Linked DNA regions of Macaca fascicularis. The protein of the gene in region 1 interacts with the protein of each later gene in a pairwise test. Links are inferred from orthologs where the notes say so. Each region holds a gene or a part of one and is shown in the gene's direction. Other genes may lie near its edges.

The links. The genes of interacting proteins can lie anywhere in the genome.
Region 2: the proteins of PIAS1 (region 1) and MX1 interact in a two-hybrid assay, tested with the Homo sapiens proteins (2 studies listed by BioGRID). The link is inferred for Macaca fascicularis from reciprocal best matches to the Homo sapiens genes PIAS1 and MX1.

The regions. Positions count from the first base shown.
Region 1 is NC_088381.1:44,828,033-44,831,687, forward strand, and holds part of PIAS1 (E3 SUMO-protein ligase PIAS1), read left to right. Parts: intron 1-984; coding exon 985-1,429; intron 1,430-3,655. UniProt on the Homo sapiens protein: Functions as an E3-type small ubiquitin-like modifier (SUMO) ligase, stabilizing the interaction between UBE2I and the substrate, and as a SUMO-tethering factor. Catalyzes sumoylation of various proteins, such as CEBPB, MRE11, MTA1, PTK2 and PML.
Region 2 is NC_088377.1:5,565,443-5,569,097, reverse strand, and holds part of MX1 (interferon-induced GTP-binding protein Mx1), read left to right. Parts: intron 1-615; coding exon 616-694; intron 695-2,247; coding exon 2,248-2,370; intron 2,371-2,798; coding exon 2,799-2,940; intron 2,941-3,655.

The DNA.
Region 1 (3,655 bases):
TTTCCACCACTTTAAAATGGGAGGATTGGTATTAGATGGGCATTTCCTATTAGTAGGTGGGGAAAAAGGAGAAACAGTGACCAAATAAGTTTGTGAATATAGGTAAACAAAGTTAAATAGATTTCTTTACTGCAGCCTCATACATTATGGCATATGAATTGGATTGCTGGACTTCTAACTTGGCCATGCAAGTTAAGTGAGAGTCAGTAATATGAGTGCAGCTCTGTCTTTTTCCTAATTGTTTAGTGGAAAGAGCATGGGCTTTAGAATCAGACATATCTGGGTTTGAATCCTGAGTACTCCTTAGTAGCTTTATGGCTTTATAAATTATCTAACCTTTCTGAACTTGTCTCCTCATATGTAAATCAGGCAGGATAATGCCCTGGGGAGTTGTAAAGATTATGACATTCCATATGAAAATATCAAATCGAGTATCTGATATATAATTGGTCACAAAAGGTATAACTTAAGTCTACAAATTCCAGAGTTAGTATAGAATGTAACACTTGATAATAGCTATTGATATCCTGGCTACATCTGGTGTTTGAGGTGGACTGTTTGTTGTTTCATATATACTTATAATTTTCCCCAAGAAAACAAAATATTCTTGAGGGCACATCATTATGTTTTACCGTCTACATAGCATTCGACATTCTCCTGGAGACTCAATAAGTGCTTGATAAATACCTGACAGTTTCATCAAAACAGTGGAATAAAGTGAGGTGTGGTTTTCCCTGGTGTATAGTTTATCCTATATCTCTTATAACCAAGGGTAGAAGTCAATTTATGAATAATAATTTTAAATTTTTTTGGTTACTTATGTTAAATGATTAAATTTGAAGTTTGAAATAATTAGGATTATAAGTGAACTGGCATTTATTTACTTAAGTAAACCATAGGAAGGGGGTTATAATAAAGTGTCATTTAATAGTGTAAATTATGTTATTGGAATACTAATGTTTTACATTTTGTTTTTTCTCTAAGCAAATGGTTATGAGCCTTAGAGTTTCTGAACTCCAAGTACTGTTGGGCTACGCTGGGAGGAACAAGCACGGACGCAAACACGAACTTCTCACAAAAGCCCTGCATTTGCTAAAGGCTGGCTGTAGTCCTGCTGTACAAATGAAAATTAAGGAACTCTATAGGCGGCGGTTCCCGCAGAAAATCATGACGCCTGCAGACTTGTCCATCCCCAACGTACATTCAAGTCCTATGCCAGCAACTTTGTCTCCATCTACCATTCCACAGCTCACTTACGATGGTCACCCTGCATCATCGCCATTACTCCCTGTTTCTCTTCTGGGACCTAAACATGAACTGGAACTCCCACATCTTACATCAGCTCTTCACCCAGTCCATCCGGATATAAAACTTCAAAAATTACCATTTTATGATTTACTGGATGAACTGATAAAACCCACCAGTCTAGGTAAGATTATTGTATGATGGTATTTGGTTACTTTTGCAGGATGAATTTTCATTTTAGACTTTTACTTTGACCCAGTTTATTATTCATAATGAAATTTTCATTTGATAGTAACAGCTGGATAATAATGAAGATCTTTCAAATTTAGATAAAATCAAATATATAAAAGCTATCTTTCAGAGGAAAAAAGGTAGTATATTGATGGTTACTGACACAGTAAATATTAAAAAGTTTCAAGAATATAAACTTCCAAAGAGGAGTCTTTTAGAAGATTGATTACTATTTTACAATATCTCTTATAAATTAGAAAATTAAAAGCGAGTAAGTCACTACAAGTCTCTGATTAGTTCTTAATTTTCAGGGATTGATGATCTCTAAAACAAGTCACTTACTAGTTTTGATTATTTAAATGAGTGAATGGTTTTAATGATTGTAAAAGGAGACTTGAGCTTTGATGTGTGTGGTAGTTAAATTTCAGCTGATTTTTTTCAAGTGGAGAAGTGCATGCTTTATAAGCATGCACATGCACACTCTTGATTACAGTTATATAATATAAATGCTTGAAATTTATTTTGCTGTGTTGTTACATCATTTGATTTGTAGTCTAGCATATAGAATTCAATATATTAACTTGTAATTTTAATTGGTATAATGCTACCTTATTTACTTAATGTAGAATAAAACTCAACTGTTGTGACCTCTGACGCCTTTGGTGTAATATATTTAAAATATCAGACTTCTAAATGCTGGTTTGTTGGCATACTATGGCTGGCAAGCTAAATCCAGTCTGTGACCTGTTTTTGTGTGATTCTGAGCTAAGAAATCTGAAAAATATTCCTAAAGAGTTATTAAAAAAAAAAAAAGAAAGAAAGAAAAACAAAGAATATGTACAGAGACCATCTGTGCCCGCAAAGCGCAAAATATTTACCCGTATAGTGAAAGCTTGTGAATCCCTGTTACAAATCATTGAATGTTTCAGTTTGGGGGATTGGCAAGTGTTGAGAACATTTTTTGCGAATTTTTGAGAACATTTTGAAAATGTTTTACTGAAATTCTATCTTTGAAATATGAGGTGTTTGTTCTTAATTATATGTAGCAGAATTTACCTGAGTACATGAAGATTATAGGAATCATTTGAAACAACATGAGTTTTGTATCACATTATTTCATTTTTTAAGTGGCCATAATAAGAAAACATTTTTTGAGAATCTACTGTATGCTTATAAAACTGATACATGCTCATTGTAAAAAATGGAATTGCCAAAGTCCCTTCCTTGTTAGCTGTTTAGTGTGTATGCATATATAGTACAAGCAAGTTGTTTCTTGTTTTTTTACAGAAGGAATCATATACATAGTATTGTTTAACTTCCCTTTTTTCCCCTTAATAATATATCATAAGCATCTTTTCTTGTCTGTCTGATATATATATATATCTATCTCCCATTTTAAATTAAAGGCCATATCTGTATCTATCTATATCTCTATATATGGTCTGTATGTGTACATATATGTATGTGTACATATGTGTTATGTATTGATCAGTTGATGAAAACGTTGTGACCAGGGGCTTGCAGGAACCTAACCTTATACTTCCCCTAGTAGCAGCAATTATATATTCACAAATTCAGTGTTTGTGGTGATTTTATAGAACATAACTGTCACAAATAACAATAATTGACGGATAATTTGATTTGAATGCCAGTTTCCATGAATAAATCTGCTGTTTGTGGTATGTATTCACAGAAAGTCACCAAATGAATAGGTGGTGTAGAATTGCTTAGTGGTATGTAAATAGATTTTCAGTATCTCATTGTTATAGAATTAAAAACAGACCAATTTGAATATGCATAAAAAGATCTCACCAGAAAGTAATCTGTGGAAGTTTATTGGCTCAATAAATATTTGTTGCAGGGGAATGCTTAGTGAATGTGAAAAATATTTATTGAAAAAAGATTTTATGTAATTAGTCTTCAGGGTTTATTTAGACTGAGTATATTTTAAGGCTCTGTTTTTACAGATTCTTTAACATTATTAAGACTTTTTCTGTAAATGAAGTGGCTACATTTGTCACAGAACTTAGTTTCCTAAATGATTATTTTTGCCAGTGGTTCATTTGTTTTAAATCTTTTAGAAAACCATGTTTTCTGAAAAATTTAATAGCTTCCAGCATTCTCTTTCTTTCTAAACATACATACATTTAAAATCAAGTTTTTAAGAACATAGTTTCGA
Region 2 (3,655 bases), on another chromosome or scaffold:
CTCACAAAAAGGCACAGAAACTCATGCTTCGCTGCTTCCTTTATCCTAAAATGTCCTATAAAATGTGGGAAACCCTGTAATAATACCCTGGGAGCACAAGTTTTGGATCGGGTGAGAAGATGCTTGACTTCCTTCCTCCAGGCAGCCCATGGTTTAAGTTTTTATCTTGGACAAGATATCTTGTGTCTCTGCTCCTCAGTGTTCTGCTACCCATTTATCTCAGGATGCTTCAATGTATTCGTATGAAGATATGTCTCTATCCATTATGGTTACCTACACATATTACACATAGAAGGGGGTATGTGTTACATAAACGTGTCTATACATGCCTGTGTATTTTTGTGATGACCAAGTCTAGAGTCAAATACCATGATACACATTTATTATATCAGCTGGAAGGGCTTATTCCATATCATTGTTGAAATATCCTAGATTGCTAAAATTCAGTCATAATCCTATTCAATCCAATTCTGAGTATTTGTTGGGTACCAATTGCAAGACATTCCATCCAGTTGTAAACAACTGAAATTCACCTTGACTTTTCCCAACAGCAGAAGGCAGACATGCGTGTTCTGGCTACATCAAGGTGGAAATCATTCTTGTGTTCTCTTCTAGGGATCTGCTGGAGGAAGGCAAGGCCACGATTCCCTGCCTGGCAGAGAAACTTACCAGCGAGCTTATCGCACACATCTGTGTAAGCACGGGCAGAGCTGTGGGTTCTCTGAAAAGAATACTACGAACACAGCTGAACCTTGCTGGCTGCTTAAACATCGCTGTACACACAGATCTTCTGAGGATCTTGTTAAGATGCAGATTCAGATTCTGTGGGTCTGGAGTGCGGGCTAGGATTCTGCATTTCCAGCAAGCTCCCAGACGATGCGGATACTGCTTTTCAGGGGACCACAGTCTGGGGGGATGCTGACAGACTATCTCGACTGGGCCAAAATAAAAATGAAAATCTTATGCACAAGCTACTAACTCTTCCTTTCCCATTGACAACCACTATTATAATGTCTTAGTCATTCTAACGAACGTATTTTTTAACTTCTAAAAGCTTTGTAAAAGCTCTGTGGTTCTTTTTAAAAATCTGCCTGAATGTAGTCTCTTCCTTTTTCAAATTTTCTTTTTCTTTTTTTTTTTTTTTTTGAGACAGAGTCTCTCTATTGCCCAGGCTGGAGTGCGGTGGTGTGATCTTGGCTCACTGCAACCTCTGCCTCCTGGGTTCAAGCCATTCTCATACCTCGGCCTTCTGAGTAGCTGGGATTACAGGTGCACACCACCATGCCCAGCTAATTTTTGTATTTTTAATAGAGTCAGGGTTTCGCCATGTTGGCCAGGCTGGCCTTTTTCAAATTTTCAACTCAGCACCAGAGTGCAAGGTCTTCCCCGTGGTCCCCAGGAATGTGGGTGCAGAATGGGTTTGTTTTCTAGCTGACTGTGATGAGTGCAGAGCTCTTTGGGGTCCCATTGTATGCAGAAAAGGGATGGTTCCTTATTAGATTCCCCACCTCAAGCAAGCCCATGGGGTTTTTTTTTTTTGCCATTGTACCAAGTCAGGCTCGTAGGTTTACGTTTAAGTTTTCTTACCTAGACAGATGCCCTTGCGGCTGAGATAGGCTCCATTGCTGCCTCCTTCTTGAGCCCCTCCTTCGTCACTGTTACTGGGGCTGGCATCTGAGTACCCCTCACTAGCTTGTCAGCCCACCGATACATTTTAAAGGTATGGCTTTCACATGTCAGCCGGCATTTTTAGATGTTTGCTATGGAAGTGTGAGCCAGCACATGGTGTCAACCGTATTGTTAAAAACATAAGTCTCTGATCACTTTTTATTGATTGCAAACAACATAAAAGTTGTTGAATCTCCAATTGCTCCAAATGCCACTTCTTCAGAACCTACTAAACAAGTGGATCTCCCCAGTCTCCCTCCAGAGAGTTTACCTAATTCGACGACAGGAGGAACTGCCCCTGGGTCGCTCTACCAGGGCCCGGCACCCCTGCACAGTGGGTGCCTCAGTGCTGCTCATGAGGCTGCTGCCGCAGGAGTCGGGAAGGGGGAAGACCTGGGCAGAAAACAGTGCCCCTAGCGTGTGTCCCCCTGCCCCCCAGGTCTGGAAAAGCTTCCTTTTAGAGGAAGCCAGGAAGTCAAATGGCCCACACAGCTCCTATGTAGAGGGAGGCCCGGGACCTCCTTTTCGTTCCCTGTTCATCTTTATCAATTCCCATTATTTTCTCTCCATTTTCCTCAGAAATCTCTGCCGCTGTTAGAAAATCAAATCAAGGAGAGTCACCAGGGAATAACAGAGGAGCTACAAAAGTATGGTGTCGACATACCGGAAGATGAAAATGAAAAAATGTTCTTTCTGATAGACGTGAGTGTTGCCAGCTACATGGAGCCGGAGAAGCACATGTCACGGTCAGAAAAGGGGCCCTGGGCCTCACGCACTTCCTTCTTCACTCCCCCGAGGCTGATCCAAAGACATCTGGCCCGTCGCACTCAAAGGGTGGACAGGGCTGAGGGAGGCAGGGCAGGGAGTGCGGGTGTGCGGGGGGAGTCAGCAGTGAGGGATGCTCAGGCTGCATTGTGACCGCTCTGTCACGATCATTGCCCAGATCCTTAAGGCAGTAAGGGGTGGGATAGGATTTTCTGGTGCCAAAACCTCTGCTTTCCTCTGATCCACAGTGTCCCATAAGGAAGCAAAGAATGACTCCCTACCCTCCACATAGGCATGGCCTCCAAACGACCTTGACCTTGGATTTGAAGTCTATCCGCTTATACTGATGTTTTTCTTCTTGACAGAAAATTAATGCCTTTAATCAGGACATCACTGCTCTCATACAAGGGGAGGAAACTGTAGGGGAAGATGACAGCCGACTGTTTACCAGACTCCGACGTGAGTTCCACAAATGGGGTATAATAATTGAAAACAATTTGCAAGAAGGTGAGTGTCTTAGTCCCTTCTTTGAGCTGCTACAACCAAATACCTGAGACTGGGTCATTTATAAACAGTAGAAACTTATTGCTCATTGTTCTGGAGGCAAGAAATCCATTCTTAAGGAATCAGGAAATTTGGTGTCTGGTGAGAGCTTATTCCCTGCTTCAAAGATGGCACCTTCTAGCTGTGTCCTCTCATGGGATAAGGGACGAACAAGCTTCCTCAGACCTCTTTTTTACAGAGATTCCAGAGGCATACCTCAGAGAGATTGTGGGTTCAGTTCCAGACAAAACAAATATTGCAATAATGCAAGTCACATAAACTTCTTGGTTTCTGGTGCATAAACAGTTCGTTTATGCCATACTGTAGTCTACTAAGTGTGTAATAACATTAGGCCTAAAAAGTATGTACGGACCTTAGTTTAAAACACCTTATTGCTAAAAAATTGCTGATACAGAAACAAAAAGTAGCATGTGCTACCGGAAAAAATGGTGCTGATTTGCTTGACATGGGGTTGCCACCAACCTTCAATTGCAAAAAATACAGTATCTGAAGTGCCTGGAATCCCATTCATGAGGGCAGAGTGCTCATAACCCAATCCTTCCTAAAGATCTCCTCTGTTGATACCATTACACTGAGGATTGAGTTTCAACATAGGAATTTTTAGGGGACACTAACATGTAGACCATAGCCATGAGTCAATAGCGTGGTGAGCCTGGTA